Linked DNA regions of Elephas maximus indicus. The protein of the gene in region 1 purifies or fractionates together with the protein of each later gene. This does not show direct contact. Links are inferred from orthologs where the notes say so. Each region holds a gene or a part of one and is shown in the gene's direction. Other genes may lie near its edges. The genes, in order: GDI2, RAB24 and RAB1B.

Evidence for each region.
Region 2: the proteins of GDI2 (region 1) and RAB24 purify together in Homo sapiens (affinity purification with mass spectrometry; 3 studies listed by BioGRID and IntAct, with this or other methods). This does not show direct contact. The link is inferred for Elephas maximus indicus from reciprocal best matches to the Homo sapiens genes GDI2 and RAB24.
Region 3: the proteins of GDI2 (region 1) and RAB1B purify together in Homo sapiens (affinity purification with mass spectrometry; 3 studies listed by BioGRID and IntAct, counting the BioPlex papers as one, with this or other methods). This does not show direct contact. The link is inferred for Elephas maximus indicus from reciprocal best matches to the Homo sapiens genes GDI2 and RAB1B.

The regions. Positions count from the first base shown.
Region 1 is NC_064822.1:53,077,247-53,081,062, forward strand, and holds the start of GDI2 (rab GDP dissociation inhibitor beta), read left to right. Parts: upstream 1-1,366; 5' UTR 1,367-1,603; coding exon 1,604-1,648; intron 1,649-3,816. UniProt on the Homo sapiens protein: GDP-dissociation inhibitor preventing the GDP to GTP exchange of most Rab proteins. By keeping these small GTPases in their inactive GDP-bound form regulates intracellular membrane trafficking.
Region 2 is NC_064820.1:197,637,574-197,641,389, reverse strand, and holds the start of RAB24 (ras-related protein Rab-24), read left to right. Parts: upstream 1-1,512; 5' UTR 1,513-1,999; coding exon 2,000-2,116; intron 2,117-2,199; coding exon 2,200-2,268; intron 2,269-2,485; coding exon 2,486-2,564; intron 2,565-2,671; coding exon 2,672-2,739; intron 2,740-2,824; coding exon 2,825-2,924; intron 2,925-3,107; coding exon 3,108-3,158; intron 3,159-3,297; coding exon 3,298-3,360; intron 3,361-3,458; coding exon 3,459-3,523; 3' UTR 3,524-3,816. Other genes in the region: PRELID1 (PRELI domain-containing protein 1, mitochondrial), read right to left, coding at 439-664, 1,254-1,345.
Region 3 is NC_064825.1:129,422,396-129,425,995, forward strand, and holds the start of RAB1B (ras-related protein Rab-1B), read left to right. Parts: upstream 1-929; 5' UTR 930-1,025; coding exon 1,026-1,039; intron 1,040-2,659; coding exon 2,660-2,732; intron 2,733-3,002; coding exon 3,003-3,098; intron 3,099-3,211; coding exon 3,212-3,307; intron 3,308-3,600. UniProt on the Homo sapiens protein: The small GTPases Rab are key regulators of intracellular membrane trafficking, from the formation of transport vesicles to their fusion with membranes.

The DNA.
Region 1 (3,816 bases):
TCGCTTTGAACAGTTATTATCTAGCTCTATTTGAGGCAAGTCTTGAAGGAAATACCAAATCTTTATTGGCTGTTAAGAATACAAATCTATGGCAGGCTGAAACAGTTTTAAGTGTCAACACCTTTAAGGAAATCACTTGTCTAGAAGGCCTCTTCTTTAGTAAACCTCAGGGTTTACTCCCCTTGGGTTAAAAGAACACAAGCCTCTGCTTATGCTTCTCCACACAGAAAGCCAGAGATTCCAAAAAAAAAAAAAAAAGAAGAAGAGGGGCGGAGAAATGGAGGGCAAACGAATAGTTTCCTCTATGCTTATGGCCTGAGCACTTTTATACACTGGTCAGGCACTATTTTTATACCTGGCTTAAGTTTTAGCTCTCAGTAGGTGCAGATGTGCTTCCAAATCAAATCTGGCCTTCCCCATTATTTATGCTAAGGGTTATTTTTTCTTAAGAGGCTTTTTTTTTTTTGCCCTTCTCCCACATTTCCTAAGGTCACACATGGGTATGATCAACGCACCAAAAGCAAGAATGACATAGGACAGGGGAAAAAAAAAAGGAATTTCCGAACTCTTTCCTTTTTGTCCCAGAACAAAGGAGGCAGGACAGAAACAAAACAAAGTTACAATTAGTAAAAATAAGGGCAACTGCAGGTAGTGCTCAAGCATCCGGAGGCTGGTTGCCTGGACGCCTGGAACACACGCCCAGTTGCAGCTCTAAAGTCCCACCAGCCCATCCCGTCCGGAGGCAAAAGCGAGTGTCACGCCACATTACGTAACCTCCTCAGTCAGCAATCCCAAGCCACGCACGAAGAGCTGCAAATCCGCGAGACACGAGAGTAGGGTCTGCGGGACTGGGAAACAGGCCTTCCCCAGTCCGCATTCCTCTCACAAGCAGCAAACTGAGCGCCTGCAGTTTTCCAGACACTCGCGGCAGAGTCAACACTCCCCGCCACGTCCCACGTGGCCGCTACAAGCACAAGACAGCGCGCACAGCTCAAAGTCCAAAGGTGGCATGCGGCCTTTGGAGGCGACTGAGCTCCCACAGATGTTGCAGTAGTTAGTTGACAGTCACTGTCTAGCTTCTGGCCATACTTCCTTCCCACTTAATCGCTAGAGCCGAACCACCGCCTCCGCCCCTCAACCACCGTGGCAGAGGACTCGGTGGGTAACCGGAATCTAAGCTGTTTACGCCCAACCTCTTCTCGCGTGAAGTCTGAGAGGAAGATGATTGGGCGAGTGATGGGGAAGTAGCCAATGAGAGAGAAGGAGGAGCGTGATCGCTGGTCCGCCGTTGCACCTCCCCCTAAGTCCCGCCCCCCAGGCTGCGGAGGGCTCCTGTTGCCCGCCCCGCCTCTCTCCCCCCTCCCTTCCCGTCCTTCTCTTCCCCCTCCCTTCCCGGCTCTTCTCTTCCCGTCTGAGGTGGCGCGCAGGTTCGCCTTCTTCTCAGCTCCATTTTACCTCTCCGGTCTTCCTTTTTCTCTTGGGCTCCGAAATCGGCCTGAGCTCTTACACCGCCGCCTTAGGGTTGATATATAACCCCCTTGGCTGTCTAGAATCCCTGCGCTTTCTCCTTGATCTTGTCTTCCATCCTCTCCCTGTCCCCGCCATGAATGAGGAGTACGACGTGATCGTGCTGGGCACCGGCCTGACGGTGAGTTCTAGGCAGCGACCGCGGCCGAGGAGCCCCGGAGCATGTGGCCCGGACGCGGGGCTAGGGGGCGGGGGAGCCGACCCCAGCCCAGGCCAGAGCTGTCCGGGGAAGTCAATGCGGCCGGGACAGGGGCGGCTGCGGCCGCGGGTGCTCCGGCCCGCACAGCTCCTTGTCTTGCCGGCAGGTTTTGCAGTCTCCTTCCCCAGGTCCCCCGCTAGTTTACCGCACTGTCTTCCTTTTCCTCCGACTTGTGGATGTGTAAGGTGTGGGCTCACCTTTGGACGTGGACACGAAGAGTCGGCCTGTCTGTGTTTCTGTTCCTGAATCCCCGGTTTGCAGGCATCTGGGCATTGCCTTGAGAGGGCGAGCCGGCCTGCGGTTTTGCATCTCTTTTCGTTAATACTTTGTCGTCTTTTTTTTTTTTTTTCTCGAAGAAGAAGAGGTGGTTCTCAAGGTTGTCGGTAAAGAGAATTTTCGCTGGTTGGAATGGGTGAGTTCTGAAGGAGTTTCAGCCTGCGGCAGAATCTAGCGCTCTCGTAACCTCATGGCAGTTTGTGTCGGTTGCAGGTTGGAATAGATTGTTTAATGTGGAAGGAAAGAACCAGGAAATTGAAAACCCAGAGCTTTAGTCGTGAAGCCGGTCAAGCAGATGATGAATACTGATGGCGAAATAAAAATAGGTGGAAAAAAGAGAGTTTCATTCTCCCACAGAGTTTAAAAAAAAAAAAAAGCCTGGTTTGGGGTATTGATGCTCCTCCACCTCCCTTTTTGGTTTGATGACTCTTCGGATAGGAAACGGAAAAGCACAAGGCAGAGTGGGGGAGGGTGGAGGACACTTGTATTTCCTATTTAGTCGTCAACCACTAGCCAGTCTTTGGCTGCCAAAGCTAGGCAAAGATTTTGCGACAAGTCATTGGAGAATCACTGTTCGGTAATTGTTACAGCTTAATTAGTTTTCCTTTTTAGAGAAAATGAACAATTAGTTTCTTATTCTCCCAGCCTCAAATAAGAAACATTATCGATTCTTTTTAGCCACCTTCCCCACTCCACTTATTGAGCATTTGTAGAATGGAAGTGAGTTTTGTCTTAAAACTTGCCTGTCAAATGCTTTTGCACCTGACCTTTGTCATCTTTTCCTTTTGTTTGGTTTGTCCCCTGTCTCCATTGTCTGTTCTACATGCTTTCCGCTAAGAAATGGATTGGTGATGGATTGGTAGAGGCCAAGTTCTCTCTCTACTACTGTATTCTCTTTAGGGATTTAGACGGTAAATCAGTAACAACATAATTACGTATTACTACATACAATAGCAGTACGAATGCGAGCTGTTCCTAATACCATGGTATCTTTATTTTCCTGGGCATCTGTCTGCTTAGAGACCTTTGGATAATATTCTGGAAATAACGCAGGCAGGTGTTGTATTTTGTACTTCTTTGTCTTCATACTTTTTTTTTTTTTTGGAAAAAAAAATCCATTTGAAGAGAGGACCAGTTTGTCAAATTTCTTTGGAAATTTGGAGTTCTGTCTTTGGACTACTTCTGTCTTAATAAGGTGAACATTGATGAAAATCTTCCGTATCTTATGAATCTGACCTCAAATTCCTGAGTCATTTAATGCAAACCACCACTTCAAATGAGCTGAAATGCTTTGTAATCTCTCAAGATCAAATTAATTTTTTCAGATAACATTAAAATAGCTATTTTAGGTTTCTCTAGACACGAAAAAAAAATCTTTGAACTTTTACTTGGCTAATTTTTTAGGAAACGGCTGTTAAGAATTAGAATAGCTTTTTATTCTGGTAAAATGATTTTTTAATTATTAAAATCACTGACACATCATTTTTGTGTTTATAATGATTTATGGTGATTTTTTTCTGAATGTTTCTGAATGTTTGAACAGTCTGGAAATACACATGTGACTGGCTAGGAAATAGTTCCAAATAGATGAGATCACTTATCTAGAAAGCCATTTAACTATTTTGAATGTGAGGGATTCAGTCTAATTTCTTTTTTGGTGGTGAGCTGGAACACTGTTGGATCCTAAATGAATAGTCCTATGCATTGCAGAATTTTGTTCTGTTTTTTAAGTGTCTAATTGGAATTCAGAGCTGGGGCTTAGCAGTTTGTGGTGGATTTTGCCCGTTGGAATGGGTACTACTGCTACCAGAAGG
Region 2 (3,816 bases), on another chromosome or scaffold:
GTTTTCAAATTTTTCTCCAAAAATCTTAGGCAGAAATCCATTACATAACACAAAAGTGAATTCCTCCAATCAAAGTGGGACAAAAGGGACAGAGGGTCTCCTTCCCAAGTGTATTCAAGGCATACTTATGGCTCGATGGACTCATGTTTGAAAACCCCTGCCTTATTCCCTCAATACCACTCCTGTGGGTTACACCCTGTGTGTGTGCCAGGCACAGTGCTGAGTGCTTTGTATTTAGTACTTGGAACAACTCTGTTAAACAGGTATCCTGCCTGTTTTAAGTCCAGAGAAACTAACCAGCTGAAAAGATAATCTGAGGCTGTACTCTAGAACCATCAAGCTTCAGTAACCCAGACCTGCCTCAAACCACAAGTGCTCCCTAAGGGCTCTCCAGCCACACCCAAGGATTGCTCTACTTGTAGGGGGAGGAGAGCTCACCATCAGCCGGGCGTGGTTAATGTTCCAGGTGAAGGTGGTCATGGTCTGATTCTGTGGGTCCACAATAGAGTCCTCCAGGATGTATACCGAGTGAGCAACATTGGCAGGAAACAGTCGCTCAGCCCAGCGAGGCATCCTGTTGGTCTTGGTCAGGAGTCGCCGGGACAGGAGCTTCTGGTCAGGGGTCACCTCCCGGTGTACTATGTCTTCCGTCAAGACATGTTTGCTGCAGGTGGCAGAGAGAAGGTGATACTTAGAAGCATTCCTCAGGTGTACTGCCTGTTGGGGCTCCCACTTGAAGTGTCCTGGCCCCAACTGGCCATGCCTTCCTGCAATCTCGCAAAGTAATCTGTGCTGTGGCCCAGATCAGAACTGGAGTCCATTGAGCCTATCCTCAGGGCAAATTCCAACTCCCGCCTCCTCGCTGACCTGGATTCCTGGGCCTGTTATCAGGGCTGGACCTTAGGATTTACTGCACCACTAGAGAGAGGACGAGGATAGGAAAAACTCTGGATTTCCAACCCTAAGATCTTGCCCAACTCCTGTGCCACCGCCTCTTCCTGTCTCCCCACCCTACGAGGGCCTTCGAAGAGGGACTCACATAAAACTGCCCAGGCCCCAGTCTCCTCTCTGGACCTTGCAGGCCTGGCCTGGCTGCTTTCCCGATAAGATCCTCGTGCTCTAAACACAGCCACGGTTCAAGGATTTCCCCATCTCAGACTTGGTGTCGAGTTCTTCCCAGCCTCATTTGGGGGTCGCCCACGCTTCGATCTCCAAGCAGCGAGGGGAGGGTTGCTCTTTCCAGAGTCACGTACCTGTAGGGATTCGGGTACCGCTGCCAAAAAGCAGCGAACACTTGGTCCCAGGAACTCCGGAGCACGCTCTGGCCCAGAAAATACTTCACCATCGTCCCGGCCGGGGCGGGCTCAGCACCCGCGCAGCATCAGGGGTGCGGAGCCCGGGGGGCACGCGGAGGCCGGGCCGTGGCTCGGCGCACGCCCGCCAGGCTCGCAGCTCAGTCACCACCACACCGCGCCCAAACCTCCGCCGCCGCCGCCATGAGGAGTGGTCAGGAAGCGCGCCACTTCCGGCGCAGCACCCATCGTTTCCGGCGTCCGCACCACGTGACCTCGGTGTCCTGCCGCCCGCCCCCCCCCAACCTGGCTTTCTAGCCCCCTCCCGCGGGATTCGCGGGTTTCGCGGCGCTGCTGGTCGGACCGGGGTCTTCGCAGAGCCGGGCTCGGCTGGGAGTCCAAGCCTCAGTGGGACCTCAGCGAGGCGGACGAGGGAGTGGGCTGGGCAGCGGCGTGCAGCGCCGTTGAGGGCGCTGCCCCGCGCGCTCTCAGGACGCCCTGGGTCTTGCTCTCTTCGAGTCTCAGTACCCGGGGCCGAAGAGCCGGGACGGGCGGGGGCGCCGTCGAGGTGTGAGGCCGCTGCCGGAGCTCGAGCCCGCCTTGGTGTCTCGAGTCGTAGGTTGGCGCCGGCGGTCGGGGCCGGAGGCTTGGGCACTGCCTCCCGTCCCCGCTCCGGACCTCGACGTGGGTGAGGCGTCCCCGGGAGCATGAGCGGACAGCGCGTGGACGTGAAGGTGGTGATGCTGGGCAAGGAGTACGTGGGCAAGACGAGCCTGGTGGAGCGATACGTGCACGACCGCTTCCTGGTGGGGCCCTATCAGAACGTGAGTGCGCCCCGCGGGGCCGGGCACGAGTGGGAGGGGGCCAGCTCGCACCCGCGGCCCTTATTTCTTTCCCCTCGTTGCAGACCATCGGGGCCGCCTTCGTGGCCAAGGTGATGTCCGTCGGAGACCGGACAGTGACTTTGGGTATTTGGGTAAGTCACCTGGGCAAGATGTCCTGGGGAAACCCATTCCTGAGAGGGCTTAGGTCCTGCCCATCACTGGCTGACTTGGGGGCCCAGAGTTTTTCTTTTCTATAGACCGTAGTTTCTTTATCTGGAAAATGGGGTCCTTGGAGGATGCAGGTGTAGTTTGCAGTTTTGGAAGTAGCTTAGCAACTCAGGCTAGACTGAGCCTCCTCTTGCCCTTCAGGACACAGCAGGCTCTGAGCGCTATGAGGCCATGAGCCGAATCTACTATCGGGGTGCCAAGGCTGCCATCGTGTGCTATGGTAAGGGGCGGGGGTTCTGGCCTGTTCCTCCAGCAGCAGGGGTGGGTGCCAGGATAGCCTCAGCTCCTGACCCTTGATTGTGTCTCCTACGCAACCAACCCACCAAGACCTCACAGACAGCAGCAGCTTTGAGAGAGCAAAGTTCTGGGTGAAGGAATTGCGCAACCTAGAAGAGGTAGGTGGCCACACCTAGCCAGGGGACCAGAGGCTGCCGCTCTAGTGGTCCATGAGGGTGACCCTGACCTTGCTTTTTGCCCCAGGGTTGTCAGATCTATCTGTGTGGCACCAAGAGTGACCTGCTGGAGGAGGATCGGCGGCGGCGACGTGTGGACTTCCATGACGTTCAGGACTATGCAGACAGTATTGCTCCTCAGTCCCCAGGGGTTGGGGGAGGAGAGTGACTGCTTGGCTGCCTCAGCAAGATCCCTAAGGCTCTCTGGGCTCCATGGACTGAGGGGTCCAGATTTCCTCAACTGTTAGCCTTCCCCTTTTGTTCTGTACCCACATTCTCGGGTATGAGGGTTTAGTCACTTTTCTTTACAGATATTAAAGCTCAACTCTTTGAAACATCTAGCAAGACGGGCCAGAGTGTGGGTGAGTGTCGTCCTGGGGCCTCACAGTAGGGCAGGCAGGGGCATCGAAGGAAGCAGAGACGGGCTTAGAGGGCTGGGTCACTGGATGATTCCCTGGCTGCTGGCATTGGGCCCTCACCGATCATCCTTTTTCCTGCCAGACGAGCTCTTCCAGAAAGTGGCAGAGGATTACGTCAGTGTGGCTGCCTTCCAGGTGATGACAGGTGTGTGCTTCCTCAAGCCTCTGTGGAGACTTCCTCTAGACCCTTGGCACCTGATCCCTCCAGCAGAATGGTACTGAGCTGCCATCTCTCTTTGACAGAGGACAAGGGCGTGGACCTGGGCCAGAAGGCAAATCCCTACTTCTACAGCTGTTGTCATCACTGAGTCACCACCCACCTAGCCTGGGGGAATTAAATGAATTCCCACGGGGCTGGACCCAACTTATCTGGGCTTGGGTGGTCAAATGTCTGAGCTACCCCAGGTCCCTGTGGCAGCAGAGGTGGCACCTGTCTGTGCTGGCCCATGGAACGGAGGCAGCATTGGGCTGACTGATGGGAACAAGGAGGGCTGAGGGCTGACTTGGACCCCAGGCTTCTGCCCTGGACAGCACATGTGTCTGCAGATTATTTAAGTGGCTTCTGATTTGTAAATAAAATCAATGCACTGTGAATCACATT
Region 3 (3,600 bases), on another chromosome or scaffold:
GCCTTATGCACTGCCCCTCCTGCCCGGCCCCGCCCAGGCAGGCCTGACTCCGCCCCGGGCCCAGCCCACCGAGCCGTTCCGCCACGCCCCTCCCACACCTGCAGCTTCTCGCGAGGGGCTGCCACGGTTGGGAAGTGAGGTGGTCGCTCTTTATTTTCAGATATTGCTGTAGAAATAAAGACGGTTTGAATCTGAGCTGGGCTTGTTTGGGGGGCGAAGATTGAGGGTGGAGAGACGGGTCGGGAGAGGTCGCGTGTGAGTGGCAAGTGTGTGTGTGTGCGTGTTGTTCGCGTCCGGTACCCGGGCCGCTGGGACCCAAATATACTGCTCCTTGCCCGGAATTGTTTGGGGGCCTCAGATTCCGAATCCGGAAGTCTCCCAAGAAGGCAACCTCCATTTCTAGGGTTATAGAGAGCGGGGACTTTGAGCCCTGCCCCTTCTTAAGCTGTTCGACCTTGAACGAATTCTATGAGTCTCGATATTTCTCATCTATAAAATGTGGGTGATGACACTCTCCTCCTGGGGCTGCGCTGTGAGTTACGAGATCCCAGCACACGGAAAACTCTAGATGAATGAACATCATCTTTTGCCGGCACCCACTTTCTCATCTAATGGTCATGACCCTGGGAGCTAGGAGGGTAGGCATGACCGCCTCGGTCAGACGTGGGAAAGGAGAATGACCCTTAACCCTGGCCCTAAACTGAGTTTTCAGCGCTGGGATGCAGGCAAGCTCCCCCAGGCGCCGTCCTAAATCCCACGTACGTCTAGGGAGCGAACTACAAGCCCCAGAAGGCAGTGCGCCGGCGGTGCAGGGAGCGGGCTGGGAGGTGAGGGCCCTCCGTTTTACGCCTGTCGTACAATGTGGAAAACTACAAGTTCCAAGAAGCAGCGCGGCGAGGCCCCACTTGGGCGTATTTGCGCCTGCGCTCCGCGGGCGGGGCCTCTGGGGCGGAGCGGCCACCATCTTGGAACGGGAGGCGGAGCAGAGCCGACTGGGAGCGACCGAGCGGGCCGCCGCTGCCGCCATGAACCCCGAATAGTGAGTGAGCCCCGCCCGCGCCGTCCGGCGCAGCCTCGATTCCGAGTACGGGGCTGTACGCTTACCGGGGTTGTCCTGCCCGGGTCAGGACTGCGCGGCGCCCCCACATCCGGGTCTCTCTTCCGCTGACCCCCCCCCCTCACATCCGGGTTCTGCCCCTCCCCCCGGGTGCCCCCGAACCCCGGCTCGACACCCCCCGAGTCATTGCACCCAGCGCCCAAAGACGGCGACCCCGAGGGGCACTGCTTGGGGCCCGAGGCATGTGCTCTACCGGGCCTTAACGGTCAGGTGACCCCGCAGCCCCGATCTCTCCTGGCCTCAGTTTCCCCACCTGCGGCTTGAACGTGGCAGCGGCCTTGGTGCAGACAACGGTCTCAGCGTTTTGGGGCCTGTCACGATAGTCTCTGGTCTTGGTATAAACTCGAGCCCTTACGTTGGGCCTTAAGTCCCTCTGCCCTGCAGATCCAACAACACCGGAGGCCCCGAGGCAGCGCTCCGGGGGGGTTGTCACCTGGCCCCTCGCTTGGGCCGCACTGCCCTGCCGCCCCCGGCAGTCATTCTGTCCTGCCCTCCTCACCTTTGCACAGGCACCCTGCCGCCGTCGGCACACCTCTTCCCTTCGCTGTAACACTGAAGTTTACAGAAATGTGGCAGTTGCTTCCCCGCTTCGGTGGGATTCTTTGCTCCACGAACTCTCCTCACTTCTTGGTCACTCCCCCTAGGGGTAGCTGGGGTAGGTGGCCCACATCTCCTGGCCAGGACTTCGCACTGATAGTTTCCCCGGAGTATCAGTTATCATTGTCTTCCTCTTCTGCCACTTCCTTTTCTTCCTCCCGATCCAGGCCACAGGTTTCCGTGGGGCAGGGTGAAGCTCTGAGCTGGATTACAAGGGGGAACAGAGAAGCAAACCAGCAGGCTGGCAAAGAGACTTTGGAGTCTGACAGACCTGGTTCTAGTAGTATAGTTAACAGCTGTGTGACCTGGGGCAAGACTGCCCTTCTCCAGCTCTGGGTTTCTCCTTAGATGGCAATAACAGCACCCACTTCACTGGACTGACGTGAGGATTTGATGACATGGTGCATTTGAAGCTCTTAGCACAGGACCAGGCAAAGTAGGAACTCAGTGACTGTTAACTGCTGTTGCCATTGCTACTTGTTGGCCACTTCTGCTTGGTGGCTTCATACCAGGCTCTTTACGTAGGTAGTTATTTAGTGGGTTCTGGTCTGGGCTCTGGCTTCCACTTCTGCGGCCTCGCCTGCCAAGGCAGGCACACCACAGGGCATGCAGTGGGGTTCTCTAAGTAATCCCAATCAGACAGAACAATGAAATTTGTCAGGAATGAGTAGGATACCCAACTCTGTCGCTACTGATTGTGATCCTTGGCAAGTCAGGTCCCTCTCTGTGCCTTGGATTCCTTCTCTGTAAATTGGGATTTAGCCTCAGCACACTGAGAGCCTTTTGGGGTAGCTATATTATGTGGGGGACTAGAAGGAGGGTTGGGTGAGCGTCGTCGTCTTACAAACCAAGGCACACCCCCCAGTAAGGTTACAGTTGTGACTCCAGTATGTTGGTGGGTGGGCTCCCTGCCATCCTTCATGCCTTCCCATCCTCTCTCTCCAGTGACTACCTGTTTAAGCTGCTTTTGATTGGTGACTCGGGCGTGGGCAAGTCCTGCCTGCTCCTGCGGTTTGCTGTGAGTAAGAAGTCTCCTGTACCGTCCATCTGGGGTCCTGGCTGGCTGGCCAGGGGGAAGAAGGGATACCCTAGAACACAGCAGTTATGAGACCTGGGGGACCAAGGATGAAGTTGCAGGACCTGCTGGCAACACATCCAACAGGAAGGCGGCAGGGCTGGCAAAGTGGGGTGCTGAGAGCTGGGGCTTGGCAGTTAGGAGCTCAGCTGGGCAGGGAGCTGGAGGGAGGTTTTCCAGATGGGCCTCAGACCCGTTCACTGGCCCTTTCAGGATGACACATACACAGAGAGCTACATCAGCACCATTGGGGTGGACTTCAAGATCCGAACTATTGAGCTGGATGGCAAAACCATCAAACTTCAGATCGTGAGTGGTGTTCTTCCCATAGCCGCCATGTAGAGGCACTACTCTGGGAGGGGCATGGGGCTCTGGGTATGGAGTGAGGCTGACCCTGTCTCTCCTCCCCTCCTGTCATGAAGTGGGACACAGCCGGTCAGGAACGGTTCCGGACCATCACCTCCAGCTACTATCGGGGAGCCCATGGCATCATCGTGGTGTACGACGTCACCGACCAGGTACTGGCTTTGCCATCCCCAGCCTTGCCTCCTCGACCTTAGGTCTCTGGCCCTTGCTTCTTTTTACTTTGCTTGTCTTCTCTTCCTGATGCTCCTCAGAAAGGGGACTATACTTGATTCATTTCACAAGGAGAGAAACAGCCACAGAAATGGACCCTCTCAAGGTCCTCCCACCTGAGCTTGCCACCTCATTCTAGACCTTCTGGGCACTTGTGCTTTCTGGAGGTTTAGTCAGCAGGTTGGCCTCCTGTGTGGAGCCTGTGGCCTTTTGTGTGGAACACACTGTGGGGGAG